3 linked regions of the Callithrix jacchus genome follow. The protein of the gene in region 3 interacts with the protein of the main gene of each other region in a biochemical or structural test. Links are inferred from orthologs where the notes say so. Each region holds a gene or a part of one and is shown on either strand. Other genes may lie near its edges. The genes, in order: CRP, PTX3 and CFH.

Region 1 (9,949 bases), about 34 Mb from region 3:
GTCACTCATTAAATCTTAAAGCTCCAAAATAATCTCCTTTGATTCCATGTCTGACATCCACATTCATGTAAGTGGTAGGCCCCCATAGCCTTGGGAAGCTCCACCCCTGTGGCTCTACTAAGTACAGCCCCTGTGGCTGATTTCACAGGCTGGTGTTGAATGCCTGCAGCTTTTCTAAGCACAAGTACAAGCTGTCAGTGGATCTACCATTCTGGGGTCTGGCAGACAATAGCCCTCTTCTCATAGCTCCACTAGACAGTGCCCCAGTGGGGACTCTGTGTGGGGGCTCCAACCCTGTATTTCCCTGTTGCATTGCTCTAGTAGAGGTTTTCCATGAGGGCTCCATGCCTGCAGAAGACTTCTGTCTGAACATCCAGGTGTTTCCATACATCTTCTGAAATCTAGGCAGAAGCTCCCAAGGCTCAATTCTTGTCTTCTCTGCACCTGCAGTCTCAACACCACTTGGAAGCCACCAAGACTTTGGGCTTGCACCCTCTGAAGCAATGGCCTGAGCCCACTTTTAGCCATGGCTGGAGCTGGAGCCGCTGGGATGCAGGGTGCCATGTCCCTAGGCTGCAGAGAGCAGTGAGGCCCTGGGCCTGGACCATGATACCATATTTTCCTCCTAGGCCTTTGGGTCTGTGATGGGAGGGGCTGCCATGAAGATCTCTGAAGTGACCTGAAGACATTTTCCCCATTGTTTTGCAGCTCCTCATTACTTATGCAAATTTCTGCAGCCAGCTTGAATTTTCCTCTAGAAAATAGGTTTTTCTTTTCTACTGCATGATCAGGCTGCACATTTCCCAAACTTTTATGCTCTGTTTCTCATTTAATTATAAGTTCTAATTTCAGATAATCTGTTTGTGAACACATATGATTGTATGTTGTCAGAAAAAGCCAGGTCACCTCTTAAATGCTTTGCTGCTTAGAAATTTCTCCTGCCAGATACCATAAATCATGTCTCTTAAGTTCAAAGTTCCACAGATCTCTAGGCCATGGGCAAAATGCCACCAGTCTCTTTGCTAAAGTATAGCAAGAGTGACCTTTACTCCACTTCCCAGTAATTGCCTCATTTCCATCTGAGGACAACTCAGCCTGGACTTCATTGTCCATATCACTATCAGCATTTTGGTCAAAACCATTCAACAAAACTCAGGAAGTTCCAACCTTTTACACATCTTCCTGTCTTCTTCTGAGCCTTCCAAACTGTTCCAGCCTCTGTGCATTACCAGGTCCAATGTTGCTTCCACACTTTTAGGAATCATTATAGCAATATGTCACTATCCTGGTACCAATTTTTTGTATTAGTCTGTTTTTACACTTCTATAAAGAACTACCTGAGACTGGGGAATGTATAAACAAAAGAGTTAATTGACTAAGTTCTGCATGGCCTGGGAGGCCTCAGGAAACTTACAATTATGGCAGAAGGCAAAGGGGAAGCAGGCACCTTCTTCACAAGGTGGCAGGAGAGAGAGAGAGTGGGGAGGAACTGCCAAACACTTTTAAACCATCAGATATTGTGAGAACTCACACACTAATGTGAAAACAGCATGGGGGAAACCACCCCTATGATCTAATCACCTCCCCCCAGGTCCCTCCCTTGACATGTGGGGATTGCAATTCAAGATGACATTTGGGTGGGGACATGGAGCCAAACCATATCAGATGGGGAGTGGTGGGACAGAGGACCACTTCTTTTAGGCATAAAGCCTTGAAATTATTTCACTTTTACACTATGAACAAGAATTCAGCAGGAAGTTATAAACTGTTGAACGTTTCTGAGAAGCTGAGTAAAGTAAGAACAGAAAATGCATTATTAAATTTACTGAGAGATGTGTTTATGTTGCCTTCACTAGAGTGGTGAAAGCCAAGGCCTGATTTCCATGGATTGAGGAGGGAACAGAAGATGGGATAATTGAGGTTGGAAGCACACATAAGCTTTTCCTCCCTTCTCTCATTCCCATTCTTCCTTTTTTCTCTTTTCTTTCTTCTTTCTCTAAAAGATTAAATATATTATAGCATGGTTTTGTAAAAATGATCAAGTAAAGATGAATGCATTAATAATGCAGAAAATAGAGAGGATACCTGTAAGGAGCAAAATTCCTTGAATGGTTGACTGGGTCTGGGATCCACTGAAGAAGTGCAGGGGTTGACCTTAGACATAATGCAGGGAGAGCTCATCCCTTTTAATAGAGGAAGATGGAAAGACTGGTACATTGGGTTGTAGGAGGATGTATAAGGATATCAGTTTGGTGTTAAGAACAGAAAGACTGAGTTAAAAGCGATTTTACAAAAGAGGAGAATATTTCTCCTTTAAGTAAATGTTCAGGTAGGCAGTCTAGAGCTGATATAGTGGCTCCATACTCAATTATCCAGTCTCTATGTATCTTGTTGCCATGCCAACCTCAACATGCAGCTTACACTTGCTGACCTGAAAGTGAACTGTTCCATCTCCTGCTATCATGACTGAATACTAGCCAAAGGAAAAAAGGGGGAGGTGGGAGCGGAAAGCATATACCTTTCTTAAGGAGCACAACCTAGAGATTGTCCCTATTCTGTTCCTATCTCATTGGCCATAATTTAATCATATCACTGCAAGCTACAGTGGGGGCTGGGAAATTTGGTGTTTGAGGGGACGACTAAGCGCCCAAGTAAAAATGTTATTCTTATGAAAAGTAGAGAATGGATGTGGGGGAGTGACTAGAAGCCTCTGCTACAAAAGATATGGTGCTTCTTTTCTGATGGCTTTTAATTTCTCAACAAAAGGTGAGTTCATCAGCTGAGTGAAAGAATGAATGAGACTTGAGGAGCAAGGAGAAGCGGCGTAATCGTCATTTGGAAGAGTGAGTTAAGTAGGGAACTGTAGTAAGACTGTCAGACAGTGTGAAGGGATTACTTGAATCTTGTGAACAGAGGAAGTAGTAGAATCAGTTTATCCAGACTCCTGCTGGAAGCTTTACATATTCAGAGAAAGATGTTATAGGAAGAAACTCTGACATAATGCTCTGCCTGTGATCAGGCAAACGTTTCACTGGACTTTTACTGCCAGGACCACCATTTAGTGCCAAAATGTCTAGAGAGCTCTAGATAAGTATATTCAATTGGCTGAGAAAATGTGTCCAGGGCTTAGGGAAGGGCATGTTTGTTCTTCTCATTTCCCAATCTGTAAACAAGCGGATTACGAAAGGGGTTAGTGATCAGGGCCATCTCCAGAAGCTGTCAGCTTTCCTTTGTGAAACTCTGTGATTTGGGCTGAAGTAGGTGTTGGAGAGGCAGCTACCACGTGCACCCAGATGGCCACTCATTTAATATGTTAACATTTCTCATTATTTTCTCAGGATGGATAGCCAAACTGAAACCCTGGGAGGTTTCTTCATTTTTCCTGTCACAAAGAATTGGTAATTCAGTAGTCATCAGAGTTTCTAATAAATAACCCATATTGATTTATCTGTTCCGGAATGATTTTGCTTCCCTCCATCCTGGAGCCCTGACACTTGACCCAAGAGGCAACGTTGGAAAATCATTTACAAAGTGGCATAAAATCCCTTACTGCTTTGGATATAAGTCCAGGCAGGAGGGGGTAGCTCTGAGGCAAGAGATCTAGGACTTCTAGCCCCTGAACTTCCAGCCAAATACAACTTTTGCAAAGGAGTGAATTCAGATCCCTGTAGCACTGGCAGCGGGGCATGAGCATGGAGAAGCTGTTGTACTTCCTGGTCTTGACCAGCTTCTCTCATGCTTTTGGCCAGACAGGTATGGGCCACCCCAGGCTTTGGGAGAGATTTGATCTGAGGTATGGGGTTGGGTGAACAGAACAGTGGAAGATTCATCACGACGTGTGTGTGTATGTGTGTGTGTGGTGTGAGTGTGTGTGTGTAAATGGGGAAGGGGTCAGTTTCTCAATCTTAAACTCTATCAGTGAGGGGATAGATCTTTGTGATCTGAGAAACTTCTCATTTGTACTTGTTTTTCTGTCTCACAGACATGTCCACGAAGGCTTTTGTGTTTCCCAAAGAGTCGGATAATTCCTATGTATCCCTCAAAGCACAGTCAACGAAGCCTCTCAAAGCCTTCACTGTGTGCCTGCACGTCTACACGGAACTGTCCTTGACCCGTGGGCACAGCATTTTCTCTTATGCCACCAAGAAACAATCTAATGAGATTCTCATATTTTGGTCTAAGGGTAGAGGATACACTCTTACAGTGGGTGGGCCTGAAGTGTTATTCGAGACTTCCGAAGTCACAGCTCCAGTACACATTTGTACAAGCTGGGAGTCTGCCTCAGGGATCGTGGAGTTCTGGTTGGATGGGAAGCCCAGGGTGAGGAAGAGTCTGCAGAAGGGATACACTGTGGGGACAGAGGCAAGCATCATCCTGGGGCAGGAGCAGGATTCCTTCGGTGGGGGCTTTGAGACAAATCAGTCCTTGGTGGGAGACATTGGAAATGTGAACATGTGGGACTTTGTGCTGTCACCAGATCAGATTAACACTGTCTATGCTGGTGGGACCTTCAGTCCTAATGTCCTGGACTGGCGGGCACTGAAGTATGAAGTGCACGGTGAAGTGTACACCAAGCCCCAGCTGTGGCCCTGAGGCCGGGCTGTGGGTCCCGGAGGTGGTTCCCAGTTTTTTTACATCACATGGGCCCCACATCTCTGTCTCTGGGCCTTTGTTCCCATATACGCATTGCAGGACTGCTCCGTTTTCCTCAGCACCTGAGAACACAGGCAAAGTGTCTGGCCTGGGACCTTGTGAACTACGCTGGGAAGCTTTGTCCAGGAGAATCAGAATTTCAGGTGTTTTGTTTTTCATTTTTATTTCTTCTTAAGTTGGACAGATCTTGGAGTTAATTTCTTACCGTCACATAGATGAGAAAACTGAAACCCAGAAAGGAGAAATGATTTTTTGTTTTTAAAGTCAGAAGGCAAGGACATCTCTGAGCTGAGAAGGAACTACTGGTCTTCTATTTAATTTCCTGCCCAGGACTTCCAGAAAGCAGGAGGGCATTGTCCACATTCACAGGACTCTTCATTCTCAGAACCAGGACATTGGCCAGGTATCTGGATTGGGTCCAGAGTGCTCAGCATCACGCTATGGAACTGCTGGGTCCAGGTCTCGTGGAATGGGAAGCCCAGCAACACTGCACAGCTCCTCCACGTTCTCAAAGCACACGGGAGAAGCCATTAGAATTGCCCTAGCAGAGGAGGTCTGCCTTTTTCCAGAGCAAGATGAGGCACAAGGTATAATATGTTGTTACTGCCAAGAATGTGCATAAAAATGGTTTTTGCTTGTTTGCAGTGCTTTCTTAATTTTATGGTTCTTCTGGGAACCCCCTCTGCCCCTTTCCACACAAACCTTGTGGGGCTTTGAATTCCTTCTTCATGCCCGCATTCTCAATATACTCAGGATGCAAGAGTAGACGTGAGACACAGGGCATCCTGTCAGAGTAGCCCATCTCCTATCTCCCCAGCTCCCTATCTGGAGGTTGTTCTTGGATATTAAATGTTCCTAGCAGGACCAATTATAGTCTTCCCAAGGATTGAGTTGTAGACTTTGGGAGTGAGAAATCTTCTTGCTGCTGGATTTCCAAGCTGAGAGGACGTGAGCCTGGGACCACCAGTAGCTATCTTGTTTGCCACATGGAGAGAGGTTGTGGAGACAGAAGCCAAACTGGGAATGGGGGAGCCCAGGGATTGATATGCGATGGAGCCTTGGCCACGTAGAGCCTCTAAATCAGCCTGTCCAGAACCACATCTATACCTGGACTGCCTAGATCCATAAGCCAATAAAGCTCCTGCTTACTTGAGTGAGTCCAGACTGTTTTCTGATGGTTGCTTTAGAGGCTGTGACTAAATTCTCTGAAGACCTTTGAAACCAAGTCTGTATAAGTTTACACTGCCCATTACAGAACAGGTCCATGGCACTCTAACCTGTCTGAGACCCTGCAGGGATGGCCTCTGACAAGCACATTCCCTCTTTTGAGACAGCTGGCCATTCATGTGATGCCAGTTGTAGGGGTTTTAATACTCTCATTGTGTCATTATTCCAGTTTGAGGAACAAAAGCTAAAGATCATTGTGATCCATGAATCTGCTGCCAGGTTCAGTGACTGGAATGCACTTGCCTTGGTTCGTTCAGGTTCTCTGTAGAAACAGAGCCCTCAAAGGTGTCGGCTGCTGCTTCCTCCAGAAGCGTCCTTTAACATGGCCTTTCAGCACTAAGTGATCAGTAGAAGTTACTCCATAGAAACCACAGCCAGGAATGAATTATGGGGCTTCCCGCGTATTAAATGGTCATCTAGAGGAGGCATATGGCAAGCTAGTTAAGCACAGAGGTTCTGGAATCAGACTGCCTCGGCCATATTCTGGCTTTACAACTTACTAGCCATATGACCCTGGGTAATATGATCTCTTTATGTCTCAGTTTTTTTACCTACAAAACAGGAGAAATGGTAATTAGCTCAAAGGGTTGCTATAAGAATCAAAGAAAATCATGCAAGCAAAGCACTTAGTACAGTGCTTGGCACAAGGCAAACTATTTTAGCAGTTTTCTGCTATTGTTGTTATTAAGCTATTTTGTATTATATCCGTAAACATAGGCTTGTTATAGGCCATAAAAATACAACTTGGTAGAATTTGTCTCGGTTGGCAGTAGTTGAAGTTTCTCGTTGACTAAGAATTAAGTTTAGAATGTTAGAAAGATGAAGAACAAATCTTTGAAACCATTATTTGTGAATGTTGACTTCACTAATTGAGTTTTGATGACCCTTTGTAAGCGTAGAAGTTAAGGATACATTCTCAGACAAAAATGAGAGTACAAACATTGTCTGTTGTCCAATTCGGGCAGATCCATCCATCCTCACAGTCAGCTAAGCAGAAGAGAGGACTGCCACTCTTTTCTAGTTAAAGAATCCAGATATGTCTTAATTATAGAAGGCCATCCCAACTCCCCAGGGGTGTGGGTTGAGGTAATATTTTCTTCAGAATTCAATTACTTGTATCTTATTATATGTAGTCTTGCGGACAGTCTCTGGCCTTAATAATTTCAGCCAGGAAGATTTTAACAACTGGTATTTGCATTCAGAGAACATTAAAAAATATTAACAAAGCATTTGTAGGATGTTCAAATTTAAGCAATTGAGCCTACTGGTGGATACTTCATTATAATCTTGTTGGAAAATGTATTTCCAGGTAACTGGTGAATTGTCATACCATATAGAGCTATCAGATATAATCCAATTAGATGTTAGATGACATCTGCCAAAAGAGATGACTCTGATGTGGGCATGCTGGTTCTAAGCGGTGCTTTTTTGTGTGTGTGAAATGGAGAGTAAGATCAAGCATCCACCATGGCCATTTCTAGCTGATACTAATAAAGCCGTGTCATCAGCACTGGTTTTCTGTTAGAGTAGGAACTATGCATCCAGTTTTTCCAGAAATAGAATCAGGCCTCAAGGAATGAGTTAAAGAGACATAAGACCAAATGGTCTATAAAACCCATAATGGAAATGAGGTGAAAGAGGGGTGGTGGCCCAGTGCCTGAAGAGATACTGTAGTGCATTTATAGGCCAAATAAGAGCAAGTAGACCAACAGTATGAATCAGAGATAATGGAGGCTGCTACTTGATAGAACACTTTCTTTTTGGAACTGAAAATAGCCATGTTGCTGTAAGCATTAGGGCCAGGCCTGATCCTAATGTAAGCCCCTTAGTGTGGAATGCAACATAGAAACCTAATATCTCCCTGTGTCAGAAATAAATATTAGCTCATTGGCCAGGCAACAGGCCTTGCACACTCTCCAAAAAGAGGTGGTCATGGAGAGAGCATGGTTAAGAATGGGCTGCATGTAAGGCCAGGTGAGTGGAGGAGAAGCCAACCCTGTGGTGAGAACTGGTCTATCCAGGCCCTAGAGGAGGTACTACAGGCTGCCTCAAAAGTGAGGCTGGGATTTGATGGAAATGGATTTGGAGTCTCAGCCGACAAAATAAGTAACACGTTAAATCTGCTATATTCTCCCTGTGCTTTCACTATTCTCAAGTTTGATGTGCCCCAGGGAAGCAAAGATTGACAAAGAAAGCAAATGACTCTAGATCATTAAACACCACCACCATCACGACCTAGACAAAATTTCCAAAGTTTAGATTTCTGATCACTAGAATCCCAGGGAAAAGAGAAGCACGGCTTTGATTTCTAGGTAGTTTTATCCTGGGACAACTGCCTGGTAGTCTCAGATGGGTTGTCATAAGTTGCCTGGATTCCTTATTTTCAGCTCCCTGTCTCTATTTTATCTATGCATCTTTTCATTTCTTCTGTACTGGAATGCAGGTTAAGTAGGCTTGTTAGCCTTTTCCTTCACAGAATGGAAACTCCTAGCTCAAATTTCCTGGATCTCCTGGACCAGTGATAACTTATAGTCTACTGATTGCAGGCATCCTTGTCATCTGGGTGTTTGAGTATGGATTCATTGACCCCAGCCCTCCTGGAGTAGACTCTCTGGGGTTAGCGCTCAGGAATGTGCAGGATCACAAGCCCTGTTATGCTATGTGCTTGTAGAGCCAGAATTTTAGTGTTTTCCTGACAGCTCAGATGTCTTATCTCGGGGACATCCCTGCCTCCCACTAAGCTTGTGGGCAGGTGGTCACCTTTAAGGAAGCATCTAGTGCATCTGTACTCAGGTCATCCCCTTGGCCTTCCTCTGGTACATTCTTTCAGGACTCATTCAGAGTGGACCCCTCTGTCCTTTATACACAGTTAATAGATCTCACAAAGTTTCATTACTGCCCCCAGGATGATAATTGCTTAATCACACAGGGAAGATCACACACAGTCTTCAAACAAACAAAAACATCTTACACTTACTGAGCTCTTACCATGTGCCAGGTACTGTTCTAAGTCTTTTAAATATATTTACTTGCTTAATGACAATTCTATGAGGTATGTAATATTTTATAGTCCTCATTTTACAGATGAGAAAACAGGTTTAGAGAGGTTAATTAACTTGTTTAGAGGTAGAATTTGAACTTTGGGAGTCTGGCTACTCAGCTCTATTTTTTTTTTTTTTTTTTTTTTTGAGATGGAGTCTTACTCTGTCACCCAGGCTGGAGTACAGTGGAGCGATCTCAGCTCACTGCAACTTGCACCTCCTGGATTCAAGTGATTCTCCTGCCTTAACCTCCCGAGTAGCTGGGATTACAGGTGCTTGCCAATGCGCCCAGTTAATTTTGTATTTTTTTTAGTAGAGATGGGCTTTCACCATCTTGGCCAGGCTGGTCTTAAACTCCTGACCTTGTGATCCACCCACCTCAGCTTCCCAAAGTGCTGGAATTACAGCTCTGAGCCAGCTCTATGCTTCTAACCACTGTATTCTACTGCCACATGTAACAGAAACTTACACCCTGCATTTATACCCATGGTGCAAGTGGGAGGGTGTAGGGATGTGTGTTTTTTTCTTATGGGAAAGCCCTTCCAGGATGCCATATATTCAGTGTTAGCTACCATTGTGGGTCCGCTGGCAATCACCCTACTTTTTAATTTTGTCCTATGTGCTTAGGAGAATGGCTTGCACATAGAAATCCTATTCAGCCTTAGCATGAATACAATTGTCAAAGTTCTCCTCTGACCTCCATCTCTTCTACAGTCACACATGCCCCTAGATGCAACTTCACATCCCACTGGCCTTCACCAAAGGCATAGAATCATACGAGGGGCTCTCTAGGCTAGCAATTCTCAACTTTGATATGAATATGGGAACCACCTGGAGAGCTTTCAAAAATCCAGTTGCTTTGGCCATAACCAGATAATGACGTTGGATTACCTGGTGGTGAGACTCAGGCGTCATTATTTTTAAAGCTCCTTAGTGATTACAATGTACAGCCAAGTCTCCAACAGCAGAGGCTGAGGTGCCACTCTTGTAGGGCGAGTGATAGTTTAGAAAAGATTGCAGAGTCACAG
Region 2 (10,088 bases), on a different chromosome or scaffold from region 3:
TTCCTCACCTCCTACTTCTTCAAACTCTTCTTGGCTACTGTATACAAACTTTAGTATCAGTCTGTCAACAGCCTTGAAAAACCAGACTGGGATTTTTTCTTTTCATGTTGAACATATAGACTAATTTGGCATAACTGACATTTTTGTGAAACTGAGTCTTCTAATTTCAGGAGATAATTTACCTTTCCATTTATGTAGATCTTTTTATGCTTTTACATAAGGTGTTATAATTATCTGTGTCTTATGTGTATTTTGTTAAATTGTTGCTTGGATATCCCATAGCTATTCTTGCTAATGTAAATGAAAATTTTTATATTCAAAGGCATTTTCCATTTATCTACTGGTATTAAGAAAGCATAGATTTTTATATGTTGATCTTATATCCGACAAAATTTGCTCAGTTCTTATTAATGATGTCTTCTGAGTCTCTTGGATTTTCTGTATGCAGATGATGCACTCACGATAAGTAATAACAACTTTGTTTCTTTCCATCCTAATCCTTATGTCCCTTTTCCTTATTTCCTTATGTCCTGCTTTACAGGCAGGGACTTCCAATACACATTTTGATGAATAGAATCACTGTCCATGGATATATATCCTTGTGTTATTCCTGTTTTTACAAAGCATGTTTCCAAGGATTTACAATGACCTATGTATCTGTTTCTATCGGTTTTGGTATTTATGCTTTTTTCAGTTTAAGTAAGTTCCTGTCTGCTTTCTAGTTTATTTTGAGTGTTGAATTTTATCAAACAATTTTCTCATCTGTTGATATGATGATTCTTCTCCTTTAAACTGTTAATGTAATAAATTAATAGCTATTCCAACATTTAATCAATCTTGCAGTCTTGGAATAAACTCAACTTGGTTATAATATATTTTTATGCACACTGCTGTGCATAATGTGTATTTTTATTCATATTGCTGTGTTTGTTTGATGAATTCTTTATTTAGAGCTTTTGCATCTACATTCTTGATGAGACAGGTTGTAGTTCTTTCTTGTACTGTCCTTGTCTCTTTTTGGTATCATACTTAGCAGACATGTAAAACGAATTTAGCACATTTCTGCACACTCCATTCTCAGAAGCAGTTTGTGTAAGATGGGGATTATGTGTTCCTTGAATGTTTGGTAGAACTTGCCCATCAAACCATCTGGGCAGTACTCTATATATTTTATTATATCAAACTTTATGTAGTTGAAGTTTCTGTATGCTTTGACAGACTTTTTTTGGCATTCGAATGATCAGTTATGACATAGGTGAACTTATCAGTTATGTTAAAATCTCCCTCCATGATTATGAATTTGTCCATTTCTCCTTATAATTCTGTCAATCTTTGGTATATATTTTTTGAAACTATGTTGCTAGATAATTCAAAGATATCTTCCTGTTAAAGTATTTCTTTGTATCATAGTGAACTATCCTCTTTTGCCTAGGTCTATTTTTTGCCTATAGTACTATTGCTATGCTAGCTTTTTGGAATAGCACTTGCTTGGTATGTTCTCTTCCTCCCCTTCAATTTAAAGGTTTTAACTTTTAATATTTCTACTTTCTTAGGCTTTATGTGTTGTTTTTATAAGTTTTGTATAGCCGGATTTTAAAATATTTCTTTTTTCTTTCTTTCCTTCTTTTTCTTGTTTGTGTGTGTGTGTGTGTGTGTGTGAGAGAGAGAGAGAGAGAGAGAGAGAGAGAGAGAGAGAGAGAGAGAGAGAGTGAGTCTCATTCTGTCACCCAGGCTGGAATGCAGTGGCATGATCATAGCTCACTGCAGTCTCAACCTCCCAGCCTCAAGTGATCCTCCTGCCTCAGCCTCCTGAGTAGCTGAGATTACAGGTGCACACCACCACACCAGGCTAATTTTTAAATTTTTTATACTGACAGGAGTCTTGCTATGTTGATCAGACTTGTCTCAAACTACTGGACTCAAGTGATATGCTCCCACTTTGGCTTTCCAGAGTACTGGGACTCTGAATGTGAGCCTAGCCTAAATATTTCTATATGACAAATAGAAATATTTGTCTCTTAACTGGAAAACGTGTTTCATTAACATTTATCGTAATTATTGGTATATTTTGATTTATTTTTAGGACATAATATTGTACCTTTTACTTACCTTCTTTGTGCTATTTTTTCCTCCTTCACTGATTTTTTTTTTTTTTTTTTTTTTTTTTTTAGATAGAGTCATGCTTTGTCACCCAGGCTGGAGTGCAGTGGCACAAACTCTGCTCACTGTGAACTCCACCTCCTGGATTCAAGTGGTTCTCCTGCCTCAGCCTCCCGAGGAGCTGGGACTATAGGTGTGTGCCACCACACCTGGCTAATTTTTTTGTATTTTCAGTAGGATGGGATTTCACCGTGTTAGCCAGGATAGTCTTGATCTCCTGACCTCGTGATCCACCTGCCTCGGCCTCCCAAAGGCGTGAGCCACTGCGCCCGGCCCCAATTTTTTTTTTTTCAATAGATCAAGTCTTTCTTTAAACATTCCCCCTGCTCCTTCAGTTTGGATGTCTATGTCCTTTTGGTAGTTGTCCTGGAAATTGTAACTAATTTTTTTGAACAAAGCAAAATTAATAAATTTCTTTATCATCCTTCTGAACAATGAAAGGATTTTAGAATACTTTTACTGAACATAAAATTGTACATTTTGGATTATTTTCTTATATCTGTCCTCCAGTTCATTAATGTTCATTTCAGCTTTGCCTAATTTGCCACTTAATCCATGCCTTGAGCTTTTAAAAATTTTAATTGCCTTTTTTTTTTTAATTCTAGAAGTTATATTCGGTTCTTGAAAAAAATCACCTTGCCTTTTTCTCTTTGACAATGTCTTATTCTTTTCTTGTATGTTCAATTCCTTCCTTTAGAGCTTAAATAATTTTAAACATATTTATTTTCTAGCCTTTGGCTGATATTTCAAATAAATAAAATTATTGGGGAGAGGTGTCTAATTCTTTTTGGTCTCTGCTGATTTTCATTTATAGTGGTTTGCTTCCTCACATGTTCAAATATCATAATATCATTGTGATTTTTTTTTTTACAGTGGCGGACAGTATACATTGGAATTCCAAACATGTTTGAGGTCAGGCCCAAATTCACAAACTCAGAGGGACCTTGTAGAGTTCAAAGAGAGACATGGTTGCTTCCTACCTTTTTGTGTTAGGGCAGAGTAGAATGTACCTACTGAAATACAGTATTTAACCCTCTAGGTTCCTGGCTTTCATGAAGGTCTCTTCTAATTCTCCGCCTTTGAACTAAGCTTTGCTTCCACATGGTCATCAACATTTGGTGATTATAGAACTAATAACCCCTAACGGTCTTCATTCCTATTCCAGAGGGGCCCTAGCATCAGCTCATGGGATTGTTGGTTTTGGTTTCCTCTCTCTCTTTGGCTCCTGGATATTTCCCTTACTTTAATGGGAGCCCATCTGTATCTTTTAAGTTTTTATTAATAAATATCATGTGAACATAGACCTGTATATATTGTTAAAAGCAAAAATCTCTATGTTTACTTTTAAAATAGGATCCTTGCCTCTACACCTTGTAGAGTAATATAATGTCTGCATAATACCAAGTTATGAAAAAAAATACCTAAGTAGCTAAATAAGTATATTCCTTTTTTCCAGCTTCCACCCCACCCCCACCCCATTTAGGTTTACCCAGGTGTACGGTGTTTATCATTTAAAAAGTGTGTCTATAAAAGTATAGGTGCAACTACAACAGAAGGATTAAAGACAAGATAGCTTGGATTGGACTTGACTTCCAGAGCCATAACAATTCTCAATATGTTGGTTTATCTTGGAATCAGACCATTTTCATTTTTAACCTGTAAAACAGTGTACAAAGGAAACATGGAAAGTTTATGAAATAAGAACAGCTCACAGAAAATGCTGAAATGATGAATTCCTTCACTATCCTCTGAAATTACTCCCCCTACCCCTTCTTCATTTTCATTGCTATCAATTCATGTTACAACAGCTAATTCTCAGGAGAATAGTGGAAGCCCAGTTTCTCTCCTCTTTCCCCTCTGACTCTGAATCTGACTGCAGTGTAAACCTTTGTGGTTTACTATTGTGCAACTTCCACATTTCCCTCGCCCTCCCACCCAGCCCCCTCCCCCACCAAATCCAGGGGAACTCCCGTTACCACAGTGCCACCAGCATTACTCATTCATCCCCATTCAGGCTTTCCCCAGCATTTATTAAGGGCTCTCTCCTCCAGCCTCTCACTCTCATTCTCCTCTGCTCAACCTCAGTTCACTTGAGAGTCTCCTCCCACCAGCCGTGGAACGAACTTTGCGTCTCTCCAGCAATGCATCTCCTTGCGATTCTGTTTTGGGCTCTCTGGTCTGCGGTGTTGGCCGAAAACTCGGACGATTATGATCTCATGTATGTGAATTTGGACAACGAAATAGACAATGGACTCCATCCCACTGAGGACCGTAAGTTCACTTTAATGTTTCTCTGCTAACCCTGACTACATATCCACGTCTTGGTCTGAATAATACACATATATACTTTGTAGCCAGTGAGACGAGTTAAAATATTTAGTTTGTTTTGCCAAAGTGAGAAGCACTTGAAGAAAGAGGGAGGTTTCAAAGTTATTTCTGTAACGTACATAATGGGTTGAGTCATATAAAATCGCCGATATTTGACTGTTTTGAGCTACATAACCGGCGATTTCATAGGATACAACTTAATCTACACCTGAATGAATGATTTCTGTTGTTCTTGAGACATTTACGTGCTGTTTTTCGGAGGTGTTCTTAAAGGCAAGGGAGATGCCAGGGACGGGCTGCAACTTGGCACCACCGAGGGAGGTCAGCTTTTACAAAGCACATCCTAGGCAGGCCTGGGCGGGCTGGTAACGTGTGTGCATCCCGCGCTCTAGCCACGCCGTGCGACTGCCGTCAGGAGCACTCGGAATGGGACAAGCTCTTCATCATGCTGGAGAACTCGCAGATGAGAGAGGGCATGATGCTGCAAGCCACGGACGATGTCCTGCGGGGCGAGCTGCCGAGGCTGCGGGCGGAGCTAGGCCAGCTCGCGGGCAGCCTGGCGAGGCCGTGCGCGCCAGAAGCCCCAGGGGAGGCCAGGCTGGCCGGTGCTCTGGAGGAGCTGCTGCAGGCGAGCCGCGACGCGGGCCGCAGGCTGGCGCGCCTGGAGGGCGCGGAGGCGCGGCTCCCAGAGGAGGCGGTTCGCGCCCTGGCCGCGGTGCTGGAGGAGCTGCGGCAGACACGAGCGGAGCTGGGCGCGGTGCAGGGCTGGGCGGCCCGGAGCTGGCTGCCGGCAGGTAAGGAGGCTTGCTGGGCCGGGACCTCCCCCTGCGGCTTTGTTCCGGGAGCGCGCGTAACGGCGAGTCAAGCCAGGCAATCTTCTAGGGGAAGCTTTCATGGGAAACACACACACACACACACACCCCTATTTCTCCTTGCACGGCACAGAGCTCAGACACACCATACAAGGCAGGAAAATAGGCTTTAAAAAAGTATTCCTCAGTCCTAAGGAACTCTAAAGAAAATTGTGGAGGTAACCATCACAGTCTTGAAATAGCCTTCTAGGGCCCTGACACCCGTTCTGATCAGACGCTGCAGGAGGTCCACTGGCCGGTTATAACCGTGACCCATCTCGCCGCCCAGCTTCCCTCCGTTAGGGATTTTCACGTCTTCTAATTTTATCTTGCCTCTGTCTTTTGAGGAGCTCTGGTTTCCCGCACTATTTCGGGGCCCAGGCTAACGTTTAGGGATGTTTTCCAGCCCCTCAGCCGGCCCCTCCTCTCCGCCCATTCTCAGCAAGAAACTTGAGGCTGAATCTAATCTCCCGAAGGGTCAGCGGAATTCTCCAGGGATCCCCCAGCCTCCAGGGTTTGTGGAATAAGCGCGACAGGGGAGGTCAGAGGGTGTGCGGTTTGAGATTCAGCGTGGAACAGTCAAGTGTGGGAGCCAATCCGTGAAGGCGATCCCAGCTCCACCCCAGGGATTCAGAGAACTGGGCCAAACAGGAGAGAGACTGTTCAAACCAGAGGCAACTTCTCAAAGTATCCATGAATCTCTAAACAGACATGAGTTCCCAAAATAATACATTCTAAAGATGGTTAAAAGAAAGAAATCGAAGACTTGGAGCCTAGCAATACTCCTTTGTATGCCAAAACTTCTAAGAAATGGTGGTGTCACAATCAATTTGGATTATATTAGAAAATCAGTGTCCTAGGTAAGAAAATATAATCGCAATTTTCCTGAGAATTCTTCCCTATATTTCCAAGAAAACCACTTTTGCTGGATGGGGGGAGAGAAGAAGCATGTTTGAGGGCATGTTTCACTTAAAGTTAGAGAAATTATACCATATTTTCTAAATATTTGAGGAATGCTTATCAGTAAATATCAAATACTGCTTCAGAGGAGAAAAAAACATAAAATCAAAAGTACAGTAGATTCTCAATGTAATAGGAGAGAAATTAGAATTCTGCAGCCATTTTAATGAATGAAATGTGTTTTGCAAACAAAGTCATTGTACATATAATGCACCTGAAAAACTGAAGAATTACTCTATTTTTTAATCTTCATCTTTGCACATTAGTTAGAGCAGAAGAGGGATGCATTTCTGAATTTAAAATGTTAATCCTTATTACATCGATAATACTTTTACCAATATGCTTTGGTTTCTCTTTTCTTGGTCTCCAGCCAACTTGGCTCCTAACCATTCTGTTGTTAGCCTCCTAAGAACCTGGCTTTAATTTTGTTTGGTCTTCGATAATCAGAAAAACCTATTAGTTATCAGCCATTTCATAAGAGTTTCTGATACTTTAAAGAAGTATTAAGAGTCTTCTTTAAAGAAGGCCTTTAAGAGCCTCTTCTTTAAAGAAGGCTCTTACTACTTTAAAGAAAAGGTATTAAGATTCTATCAGAAACTATCTTATGAAATGGATATAACTTTTGGGTTATCACTGGTTCCCAAAAAGAAGCTCACCCAAAATAGCCAACATGTGGTTCATCTATCCATGAACTTAAGTAGCCAGTGTAGCCTAGAGAGAAGCTGAGTCTGAGATGCAATCAAGGAGTGCTTTGGAATGCAATCCTGACTGCCTGGGCTTATTTAAAGAGGAAATCACTTAATTAGATGGCAGTAGGCACCCTCTTGAATGCTACTTTACTGAAACTTTATAGAGACTATATCAAATGCCCAAGGATGTGGTGATTTTCTGTTCAGTGATTTTTATTTGATTTTAATTAACATAGCTAGAAAAAAAGATGTACCTAGCAATGTCATTTAAAAAATGAATCAGTGCCTCATCAAAAATTAATTTTAAAAAATCTTCAAAAGTTCAAATTATTTAGTGAAAAAGTATCAAAGGCCAGTAACAGTAAAAGTAACAGGGCCAGTTTTGTGTTTTAGTATTGTAGTTACTTTTACATGATTTTCTGAATGTCAATATTTTATTTGACTATCCCTAATACTAAAGGATAAGGTCCATATTTGTTTAATGTTTTCTGGACAGAGCCTAGCCCTGATCCCTTGTAGGAATCTGACATAGTTTACCACACTTTTACATGGATCTTTGGTTTCTGCAAGTTCTGTCTCTTTACCAGTTATTCTGGAACCATTTCGGGAGTTGGCTTTTCAAAGCTGTCTTATGGCAAATCTTCTTTAGGTTGTTATATCTAGCCCTAATTTAGGTGTTTTTTAAAAAAATACATACATACATACACACACATATATATACAAAAACACACATATATACATATATACACATATGTGTGTATTTGTATTTTAGATATATATAATTTTATATAATATAATATATAAAATATGTCAGATTCCTACAAGTGGCTCAGGGCTATAATTATATGTGTGTATATACACACATATATGTATATATATATAGGTATACACACACACACACACACACACACAGATAGCTAGCTATTTCAATATTTAGATAGATAGATGAAGAGCTCACTTGTTCTTTCCCAGAGACACGTAAACAGTTTTTGTTTCAGCATCTCCAGCTTCCCAAATGGCTAAGTGGCCTTGAGATGGACAGTGGTAGAAACTTACTGAGCTTTCCACCTCAAATTTGAAAGTCCTCCTCCTAAGTGCTCTTTAGCAGAAACATGTTCTTCAATCAGGCCCCTTGAAAGAATGTACTCTTCTTAAAGAATTTCTATTACTACTTAAATAGTAATTATAAGCATGTGGACAAAGTAAGAATTTTTAAACGTTCTTCTATTCAGCTCTTAAGTGCAACACACTGGCTGCTTACAGACTTGCAGAATATTAGGAGCAGAATGGAAGGGCCTTTTTTAGATAACAGTGAAGCCTAGAGAAATTATGAGGCTCATCCAAAGTTACACAGCTCATTAGTAGTAACACCATCTGAATTTTAGCCCTCCTAGAGAAATCTAGGTGTTCTATTAATATAGAGGCAATTTTGTGTGCTGGTTAAGGGTGTGACCTTTGCAACCAGACCGCAAAAATTCAAACTCTAATTTTACTGCTTATCAGCTATGTAACATAGACAACATAACATAAAAGTAACATAGACAAGTTACTTTTGCCTAAGTTTTCTCATCTGTATAACAGGAATAAAAAAGACGATCTCTTGGGATTGGCATGAGGATTAAAATGACATACAAAGTGATTAGAACAGTATCTGGCATATCATGAATGCCCAGTAAATTTAGTCATCATTATTATACATTGTTGCCTTTCAAAGGTAGTTTTCTAAAAACTCTACAAAGTTTGCAAATATTTGGTATATTAAAATATATTCTGCATTAACGTCACTATTCTAGAATTTTGCTGAAAAATGCATGTTGTTAAAGGCTAAATGGAGCAAACTAGGTCTACTGAATTTCATAGGTTTATCATTTTAGGAACTTGGTGGTGGCAGAAAGAGAGAACCAGGCTGGGCTCTGAATTATTGGAAATTATAGAATTATTGTCTGAAGTTAACTGATAGTGATTCAACTTTTTTTTTTAAGGCAGTAACAGAAAATATGCAAATTGGAAAGGAGGTAGTCATGTCTTTTATTATTTTGTGGGTTAAGACTAGTTGGCTCTTCTATTTGCAGGCTTTCTCTTCTTTTAGATGTTTCCTTGGATAAGACAACTGGCTTTCCTTTTTCTCATTTTCTTTGCTCTGCAGAGATTACACCTGAAGCCTCTTAAGTCATAATGTAGGATTGCATACAGCTTTCAATTATGGTTATTAAAATACTTATGTTAAAATAATACCAGAATCATTTTGAATAAATTTTTATTTTCTTTAATATTCTTCTCTTCTTGCCACTCTAGGTTGTGAAACAGCTCTTTTATTCCCAATGCGTTCCAAGAAGATTTTTGGAAGCGTGCATCCAGTGAGACCACTGAGGCTTGAGTCTTTTAGTGCCTGCATTTGGGTCAAAGCCACAGACATGTTAAACAAAACCATACTGTTTTCTTATGGCACAAAAAGGAATCCATATGAGATCCAGCTGTATCTCAGCTACCAGTCCATAGTGTTTGTGGTGGGTGGAGAGGAGAACAAGCTGGTTGCTGAAGCAATGGTTTCATTAGGAAGGTGGACTCACCTGTGTGGCACCTGGAATTCAGAGAAAGGGCTCACATCCTTGTGGGTAAATGGTGAACTGGTGGCTACCACTGTTGAGATGGCCATAGGTCACATTGTTCCAGAGGGAGGAATCCTGCAGATTGGCCAAGAAAAGAATGGCTGCTGTGTGGGTGGTGGCTTTGATGAAACATTAGCCTTCTCTGGGAGAATCACAGGCTTCAATATCTGGGATAGTGTTCTTAGCAATGAAGAGATAAGAGAGACCGGAGGAGCAGAGTCTTGTCACATCCGGGGGAATATTGTTGGGTGGGGAGTCACAGAGATCCAGCCACATGGAGGAGCTCAGTATGTTTCATAAGTGTTGTAAAACTCCACTTGAAGCCAAAGAAAGAAACTCACACTTAAAATACATGCCAGCTGGGAAGGTCTGAAAACTCAATGCATAATAGGAACACTTGAGACTAATGAAGTAGAGAGTTGAGCTCAATCTTTATTTATACTGGCAAAATACTGAATAAACAGTTGAAGGAAAGACATTGGAAAAAGCTT
Region 3 (10,114 bases):
TACCCATAGACTTCTGGTGTCGGGCATATTCATGTGTCCTGTCTTCAAACACTGAATTTTTGTGTTACGATGTCCTACTGGGTAGTAGAAGTATTCCTGGAAGGCATTCTTATACGTGGAGGATCACCAGTTATCAAATTATATTTAATTGCGACTGTAAAATATACCAAATAAATCTCAAACTAATAGCCTATTATGTGTAAGTTTTTATTGCATTGTTCAAATGCCTGACACTGTAATGTCAACTGACTCAGTGGAAATGCAATGAATGGGAAATCGGCATAGAGTAAGAGAGACAGCAGTTCATTCTCTTGCAATTAAGAGATTAATTCTCTTCAATTGTTTACAAAAATAGACGACCGTGCAGAAACATTACTAAGGGCCCTCACAGGTCCTTGATGGTTTCTGTTCAAATTAGGAGCCCTGAAGCTTAAACTTCATTAGCTTCATAGAAAAATCAAGCTCTGATTATAATTTTTAGTTTTTTACACTTTTTCTTTACATTGAGATGCTGCCTAGTTGTTGTATTATGAATTCATTCAGTAATTTATTTAATTTGTATCCATTTTCTGAGTCCTTTTCCTTTCATCCATTTTAATACAACTACCAAAGCACCATTACTTAAATAATGCATTACCTATGTTTCTTCCTCAATTGGATCTATCAAAGATTCTTTATTGACTGTAAAATAATTCACAAGTTTTTGATCTGGAATTCAAACCATTCCTCATTCAAAGCTCCTTTTACTTCTTCCACAGTTTTCTTGTGCAAAACCACAGATCCTTCATGAGTCTTCTCATTAATTCTAGATTATCCCTACACTTTCCAATTTTTCACAGTTTTTGCTCAATTGTACTCTTGTCTTAAACTACAGTGTAACATCCCAAGTATTCTTAAAACAATCCCTGATCAAGCTCAGTGCTCAGTAATTTCTCTTTCTTGTAAACTTCCTTGGAAAATTTTAATCACAGCAGTCATTTGTTACTTAGCATACATATTACCTATTTCTAATTTTTAAAATATGAGATTTTTCTCTAATACAAATTTGTCTCTACTCTTCTATATTTTACCAAGTTCAATGTGCTACATATACATAGTACATATTTGCTGAGACGTGCCCAACATGAATATTGAAAATAAATTGGATCCTTTTCAGTTTTAATCTAAGTATTAATAGTTAACTATTTGCTATCTGTACTTGCTAATGGTAATCTGATATAATAATTTTATGATTTTAAGGAATAATATGTTGGTAATTTTCTTATGTTCTAAATTTCTTTGTAAAAAACTTTTTAGTTTTAAAAAATAGTGATGGAAAGAAAGGAAACAAAAACACTCAATTGATGTCTTAGCCATCAGTCTTTGAAAACAAGTAGAACAGAGAAAAAATAGTAAAAATAGTACATCTGAAAGATATTTGTTGAAATTAATTCCAGAACATTATTTCTACTTGGATAGTAGATTTGCATTTTACATTCAACAATTGCAAATTAGGTAATGATTTGTATAGTAAAATTATTTCTGCATGTACTTTAAATTATCCACAAACATATAAATATGTGTATGTGTGTGTGTGTACATTCAATACCTTTATAGTATGTGTATAATTGTGAAATAAATAAACATGAAGCATACCCTAGAATACACATGAAAATATTTTACCATATTTTTAAATACATAAAAGAGTTACTGACAGTTAAACTTACGTTAATTTAATAGCATAGGAAGCAAACCATTTGAGAAGCAGACTTGTGTATGTTCAAAGTAAAATTCTGGGAATTAGCCCATTGGCACTAGCAATGTCTTGTGACCTTAAGGGAGTTGCTTAGATGTGGCTCAGTTCAGTCACCTGTACATTTGAAAGAGTAATAGTCTCCTATTTCACTGTGTTGCTTTAAGTATTGAATAAATGTGCTTAGATCTGTGTCTGGTATATAATGAACACTCAATAATATTAATCTTGAAAAGTTTCTGAAACACTCTCCAAGTGATAATATTGCTATTAGAATAGAAACGGCTATTGGAAAGTTAAGCCCAGGTAAGATATTTGAATTCATACTCAAATAGATAAAACTAAGGAAGGAATAAAGAAGTTTAAATGATCTATTATGTCAACATATGTGTTACCAGTTACATCAAATTAAACTTCAGAACGATAGTTCAGAATTCGTATTTGTTTGATTGTTAACATACATGTGCTATTTTATTTCTTATTTTCTCAGAACAAAAGACTAAGTCTAACTCTTCAACCCTTATCTTTTTAATAAATGAGTGAAAATAAGATAAAATAAAATGTAAAATTTCCACTGGAAGCAAAATAAGAGTTAATGTGAGCCATTTAATGTGAGAAAATGACCAATGCAAGAGGAGGACATCACAATTCTAAATACGTATGCAAGCATAATCAAGCCCTAAAATATATAAACATTGCCAACATTAAACAGAGAAATACAAAAAACCACGTTTATAATGGGAGATGTAATACACCCTTTCCATAGCTGATAGAAAAAGCAGATAAAAACATGGTAAAAATATAAAATATTTTAACAAAGGAATTACAAACTTGATCTGCTGACACAGAATTTTGAATAAAGAAATACTCATCAAACAGTATAATTATTTAGAATATGTCTTCTGACCACAGTGAAATTAAACAAGATATCAATTTAAAAGATAATTAGAAAGCCAAATTTCCCAGAAATTTGCCATTTAGAAAAGTTTTAAAAATAAACAGACTATTACATTAAGAACAGCTTGGTGATATAAACTTACACATATCCAGTACCTGATTCATGACAAAGGTGAAAGCATGTCAATACAGAGGAAAGAATGATACTCTCATTAAATAATGCTATAACAATTGGATAACTCTATTTTTAAAATGCACTTGGAGCTTTTTATTAAACTATACACAAAAGACAATTATAGTTGTTCTAAAGGTCTTAAATGTGAAAGATAAATTAATTTTTTTAGAAGAAAAGCATTGTGTTCTAGGATTAGGCAAGGTTTCATTAAATAAGACACATAATGCACTAATCATAGAAAAAAATTTGAAAATTTGCTCTACTCTAAAATTAAGGAATTTTATTTATAAAGGACATGTAATACTGAATGGAAAGAAAACCCACAGGCTGGAAGAAGGTATTTATAATACATATTATAAGAATATTTTCATATCTAGAATATATAAATATTTATAAACAATTACTGTAATGCAATAAGTCAAAGACAGACAATAAGGAAAAAAAGATGCAAAAGATTTGAATAGAACCTTCACCAAAGAGGATATCTAAATTACCAATTACCACAGGAAAGTTTCTCAATTTCAAGATGATATGGACAGGAGACAGGGAAATGGTCCACCAGCAGAGGCCCCACACTCAAGCCTGAAGACCTGTGGCCCTAAATGACAGGCATTTCAGTTTTCACACCCATAAAGTTGCCTTTTGGCCCACCATGCCCTCCTGTTCTGCCCCCATATAAACCCAAAACTCCAAGCTCCAGAACAGACCTGCAAATGAGGAGATGAGGAGGCAAGCAGACCAGCAGACCAGCAAAGGCAGAATGATGCAGCAGAGAAAGAGAGGAGGGACATCTGGTCTATGAGGGGAGTTCGGCCTGGGACAGTTAGAGAAGAGTCCAGCCACTGGGAGGCCTGACTCTGGCCAAAGGCCACCTTCCCACTCCATCTCGCTGACAGCCACCTCCACCACTCAATACAACCTTGCCCTCCTTCCTTGAGCCCCCAAGTGATCTGATTCTTTTGGGACACTGGGCAAGAGCTTGACATACAGAAGGCTGTTATACTGTCCCCCAACCATGAGATAAGGAAGAGGGTCCATTGAGCTGATTAACACACAAACCGTCTGTAGATGACAAAGCCCCCCTGGGCTTCGGGAATTGCAGATACCCACGCCTTGATGCTACCGTGACACCAGAGCCGGAAAGCACTCACCCCAGTTCTGGTACCTGCCCATCTGTGTGCCCCCCTCCAGTGAGGGGTTTGAGTTGCACCCCTGCCACATGTCCTGCAAGGGAAATCTGGGCTCTCTCATATTTCAATTAGTCATCAAAAAAATTCATATTATAACCACAGAGAATTATTGCTTTGTGTTACCAGAAAGGCTAAAATTAGGAAGATTAAAATTATCAAGTATCTCTGAGGGTATGGAGAAACTTGGACACTGCTCATAGAAATGTCAAGTGTTATAATCCTTTTGGAGAATTGTCTAATTTTATCCATTACACCTAAATGTACGTTACGTCCTAATGTTTCACTCCCAAGTATGCACTTACCAGAAATGTGGATTGTGTTTACCAAAAACCACGTAACATCATGCTCATAGCAGCACCATTCATAATCAGCTCCAAACTAAAATCTGCTCAAATACTCACTAACAGGCACACAGACAAACAAAATGTGAAATATTCAAAAAATGGAATGTTTCATCACAGTAAGAATTAACCATTTATAACTTCATCTAACAATCTGTTTGCATGGTCCAAACATAATTTTTAGTGAAAAGTTCTACACATAAGAGTAAATTGCTTCCTTTTCATTGTACAAAATACAAAAACCAGACAAATATATTCCATGTTCTTGCAGATCAGAATCATGGTGTGTGATTCTGTGTGTCAGGGGGTGTGGGAGAGGCTTGAGAGGAGTATTGACCAAAAGGTAGTATTGGGGTTTTCCGGAAAATAATAATGTTCAGTGTTTTGACTTTGGTAAGGGTTTCATAGGTATCTTACCTTCTCAATATTCAGTATGTGATTTATTTATGTTTTCCTTATACACATTATACTGTAATACACATTTTTAAAAATCAGCATTCCAATTTGTTGATTTATGGATTGTGAAACCTATTTATGTCAAATGAGAGTGAGCCAGTTGCTTCATACACATATATAAAAATCATTTAGAAAACAAATTTCATGAATTGTTAGAAAAGCAGGAGCTCCACATCATCTAGCACTTCATTCTTGGGCAAAGTTTGTACACATTGCCTGGGTGCTGATTGTGAAAACATTGCCTAAACTAAAGTTTTCTAAGTGATTTCTTTTAAAGTGTCTCTTATTTCCTGTTCTGAGATTTATACATAATAGGCCTGAATAATTGAAGGGTTTATGAAATCCAGAGGGTGTCACCAACTGTTGCTTTGCACACACTAAGAACATGAACATTTTCCAAGCTTAATAAGAAACAGTCCAAGAGCAGGTCACAGCATTAACATTCAGTGGGAGTGCACTGAGAATCAGGTTCAGCCTTTGGGATTGCTGGGCTTGTGGATGATTTTTTTGTTTACTTTGCAAAAGTTTCTGATAGGCTGAGCATCTAGTTTCAACTTCCTTTTGCAGCAAGTTCTTTCCTGCACTAATCACAATTCTTGGAAGAGGAGAACTGGACGTTGTAAACAGAGTGAGCTGGTAAATGTTCTCGTAAAAGACCAAAAAAATGAGACTTCCAGCAAAGATTATTTGCCTTATATTATGGGCTGTTTGTGTAGCAGAAGGTAAGATTAAAAGAGGAGAACTGTTTTTCTAAAACTGTATTATGAAACATTTGCTAATGATGCTTTTCACAGTAGTAATAAAATTTGATTTAGAATGTGCTTAAGTATTGTGTAGCTTAACAATTGAGTGGCTTTTGACATTGTTCAGTTTAAAAAATGTAAGTACCTATTTGAATGGTATATCTGAATATTTATCTTCATTTTATTTAATATAAAAATTTAGAAAATATTTAAACAATTGTTTCTGAAAATCTATAATGTGTAATAATCATGTCCCTTGTAGTTATCATGAAATACAACTTATTTTTTTGCTTAGAAGTATAACCAAAATGAATCATGATGTGAAGGATGTGAATAGTCAATAAAAGCCATCAAATCACAATGATTAGATTTATTTCAGATATGATTTTTACTCTTTCTAAAGAAAAATTCATTTATCATTTACAACTGTGCTTGCCATAACTTTAGAAGTCTGATAAACAAGCATTACTTGTATTATCAGAATAAAATATTATGTACATTTAAAACACAATTGAATATACAATATTTGTAACAGTTAAGTTGTTCAATAGGGATTTTTTTCCTGTCGTTGTAAATAAGATATTCTTGAAGAGCAGTCTTTTAGTATAGTGAATATAAGTGTAGGAGTTTTTTTCTGACATCAGCAAGACAATTTCTGGATTCATAATAAAATTTAAATGTATAATTGCTTCTTGACAGATTAAAAAGCTTATTCTTGGAGGTTTGCTTTCCTAGTCTGTGATAAGTAACCGGTTATGTGAAAGATATTTGATCAACATTTTTAAACTAAATAAATTACATATTATTCATAATTTCCAAAAACTTTTCACGTAGTCAAAAAATTTTGATTGAGGCACTAAACATAGCCTCTAGGAACTGAAGAAAATTAGCAAGTACACAAAGTCTCTCTGTTGTTTGAGTCTTCCAATCTAGAAAATAAAGGCAGATATGTTTTTATAGTTTATCCTTCACTAATCAAAAAAACATTCAAATATGTTTAATACCTTGTGAAAGATTGAACTTTCATTCAGTTCTATTTTCTAATGTTATTGCTGTTATTTGGCTTGTAAACTTTATATGTAGCCACTTTTAAATGAAGAAATCATTTCCTTGTACATATAAATATTACAATTACTATTTTAAAATGAAATATTTTTGTATTTGCCAACAGTTCCAGAACAATGTCAACGTCATCAATCATCACAGACATCTTTTTCTGTTTCTTTGTGTAAATATTTATGTCTTTTCTTACTAAATTTAAGGGAATGCTTTTAATATTTCATATGTACATACTGTTTGCTCAGATTTTACATAGATATCATTTGTCATATGAAGGAGATTTGTTTTATTTCTAATCTTTAAAATCAAGAATCAATGGCGAGTTTAATAAAAAGTTTAAGTTATTAAAAAGTTGAATTTGAAATATTAAAATAGAGTACATCAAATTATATGTGATAATTAAACAGTAGTGGTTTAAACTTATTTGCATAATTGATTATTACTGGGTTGTTTCACTTGAATTTTATTATTCATCAATGTGTATTTAAATGTGATATCAGTTTCTACTGGTGAATTGAACATCAGCACTAGATTATTTCATAGTGAAAATGAAATAAATCGGCCGGGCGCGGTGGCTCAAGCCTGTTATCCCAGCACTTTGGGAGGCCGAGGCGGGTGGATCACAAGGTCAAGAAATCGAGACCATCCTGGTCAACATGGTGAAACCCCGTCTCTACTAAAAATACAAAAAATTAGCTGGGCACGGTGGCGCGTGCCTATAATCCCAGCTACTCAGGAGGCTGAGGCAGGAGAATTGCCTGAACCCAGGAGGCGGAGGTTGCGGTGAGCCGAGATCGCGTCATTGCACTCCAGCCTGGGTAACAAGAGCGAAACTCCGTCTCAAAAAAAAAAAAAAAAAGCACATGTAATGCAAAAGTCAATTGAGAAAAAGTACATAAAATTTCAGTGGATATCATATTCCTGTTTTATTCCTTGTTTCCCAAGTACTCTTTAAAACTAAACTAGTTTGAGATGTCCATCAATTCTATTAATCTACCATATCTAACAAACTTTGACTTAACAGAGTAGCCTTGATCATGAAACATACTCACATATACTTCAATATTTGCTTCAGTTTATATTTCCCATATTGAACACTGAATACTAAATTGAGAAAAGACAGTTTGAATACCATCACAATCTGCTTTACTCAACTGCATATATTTTAGCATTACTTCTGCCCTGTTAAAAGTGAATATTCACTTTGGGAGGCCAAATTGGGCAGATCATCTGTGGTCAGGAGTTCGAGACCAGCCTGACCAACATGGAGAAACTTCATCTCTACTAGAAATACAAAATTAGCTGGGCATGGTGGCAAATGCATGTAATTCCAGCTACTCGGTAGGCTGAGGCAGGAGAATCACTTGAACCCAGGAGACAGAGGTTGCAGTCAGCTGAGATGGCGCCATTGCACTCCAGCCGAGGCACCAAGGGCGAAACTCCATCTCAAAAATAAAATTATAGCCAGCAGGAATAATTTATAATTTCAGCTTTCTATTTTCTAAAAAAATATGTTGGGGACTACATAGTACCTTTATAATGCAGTACATTGTGTACGGTCACATTGCCAGTTGTATAGGAACATTAATTGCCTCCTTGTTGTAACAGTCTATAGCTCAGGGAGTTACCGCAAGCTACTGAGAATTGGGTCATATTTACAGGACAAAGTTTCAAATAGCAGTTTCTCAATCGTACCACCTAATTTCACTTTTTTGAACTATATTATTACCAAGCTTTTCACTGTATTTTGACCAAGCAGATTTTTTTAAATTTAGGGTCTAACAATTGTGTCCTATGTGAAATTAGGCCACAGCCCAGAAATTCCAAGATGATTAAAGTGAATAAATTAAAACTCTACTGAAACATGTTCAAGTAAATACTGGCTGTGTTGTTAGGCAGACATGGTTTCTAATCCTGGAGATTTAGAGTGCAAAAACATCATCTCAGTTCCCAACAGACATTATAGATCAAAGACTGAAGGATTCCATTATGATCAGAGAAAGGAGAATAATATTTTAAAATCCTAAATTTTATGTTTGAATTTCAGTGTGGTAAATAAGAATTCCCCCTTCTTCCCCCAAGCCCCTACATTTTTAGAGGTCACAGTACGGGTAGGTACCTATATGGTTGATTTAAAGTTGTGCAATGGCCCAGTTATCTTCAATAGGTCATGTCCTCCTAAAATACTTTACATATTGATATTAATATTACCATGAATTTAACCAATTTGTCATTTACACAGAATGACACATACACTGAATACCTACTTTAGGACAGTTAAATTTAGTATTATTCATAATTTACTTCAAATTATTATAATCTGAAAACTTCCCTGAAACAAGTTCAGTGGGCAGGAAAGGGTAGAAATGGATGCTGATGAGGGTAAGAATAGGACAAAGTGATTTTGCAAGATGCGGTATTCCCAGGTAGGACAGATCTGCTGATTGAAGTGCTATAGTGAGTCTATAAGAGAAGGGATAGAGAAAAAGAAAATGCCCACAGAAATGGCACGAGCATGAGATGTCTGCCAAGGCAAGCTTTGCTTATTTTAAATTTAGGCATATCCTGGGAATGCATATGCTACTCTTTTGCCTACATATAATTTAAACTAAAAATGAAATATCTAAGTATTGCTAACTAAAATTATTCTTAGGTAGAAGTAAGTTCCCAAATATAAAAGCAGATTAGTAAATGTGTGGTCTTTGGTTTCTAAGATCTGAGCCAGTCTACACTGACCCACTTTTGTTTGCTTAATCCCCAATTGTTTATTCTTTTGCCTCTTTTCATTCTTCCCAGTTATGCCTCCTCCTCCTCCCCCCAGATACCATCTCCCACCTGTCCAGGCCTTTGAGATTCTGCCGCCCAATCTATCCTGTGCTCAGTTGACTAATGTGTACTTTACCCATTTCTTCACAAAACATGGTACATGGATGGGGGATGACGTAATTGACAAAAAAAGTGTTGCATTTTAGCTTAAAATTATAACGAGACATAAAAAGATAGCTCAGAGGAAGTAAAGTAGCTGAACATCAAAAAAATGAAACAATAAAACAGAAAAAAAAAGATCTGACAGAACACTTTTATTTCTTCTGCATTTTAACTTAGCCAAGTTTTTCCCAAACCTTGTTAACTGGAAATGTAGTAGATAGAAAAGTGATTATAGAAATTTTCTTTCAGAAACTTCTGAACCATGTAGGACACACAGGTCAGATGTACAGTGGAATTACAAATGTTAATGTTTCCTGGGTTCTTGCAACAGAGCTTTAAGTGCATTAGACAGTTATCACCTTGTCTTCTCTTATATTTTCTAGTTGCTATTGTCTACCACGCCTTTTCTACAGGCTGTCCGTAATCTAGATATAATGGAAAGGCTTCCAGATATTTTCATTTTTACTTATCTGTTCTTTCGCTCGTTCATTTTTTCCATCACTTCAACTTCCCCAAGTGCTACTTAGTAATACATGGTACAATATGTGTTGTTTTTTTCCCCCTATTTTTGGGGTCCTCATTTTACTGTCTCC

Evidence for each region.
Region 1: the proteins of CFH (region 3) and CRP form a complex in vitro, tested with the Homo sapiens proteins (12 studies listed by BioGRID and IntAct, with this or other methods). The link is inferred for Callithrix jacchus from reciprocal best matches to the Homo sapiens genes CFH and CRP.
Region 2: the proteins of CFH (region 3) and PTX3 form a complex in vitro, tested with the Homo sapiens proteins (3 studies listed by IntAct, with this or other methods). The link is inferred for Callithrix jacchus from reciprocal best matches to the Homo sapiens genes CFH and PTX3.

The regions. Positions count from the first base shown.
Region 1 is NC_133519.1:19,658,253-19,668,201, reverse strand, and holds CRP (C-reactive protein), read left to right. Parts: upstream 1-3,588; 5' UTR 3,589-3,686; coding exon 3,687-3,753; intron 3,754-3,982; coding exon 3,983-4,593; 3' UTR 4,594-5,810; downstream 5,811-9,949. UniProt on the Homo sapiens protein: Displays several functions associated with host defense: it promotes agglutination, bacterial capsular swelling, phagocytosis and complement fixation through its calcium-dependent binding to phosphorylcholine.
Region 2 is NC_133518.1:28,114,340-28,124,427, reverse strand, and holds the start of PTX3 (pentraxin-related protein PTX3), read left to right. Parts: upstream 1-4,217; 5' UTR 4,218-4,301; coding exon 4,302-4,431; intron 4,432-4,880; coding exon 4,881-5,282; intron 5,283-9,283; coding exon 9,284-9,897; 3' UTR 9,898-10,088.
Region 3 is NC_133519.1:53,163,359-53,173,472, forward strand, and holds the start of CFH (complement factor H), read left to right. Parts: upstream 1-5,380; 5' UTR 5,381-5,455; coding exon 5,456-5,513; intron 5,514-10,114. UniProt on the Homo sapiens protein: Glycoprotein that plays an essential role in maintaining a well-balanced immune response by modulating complement activation.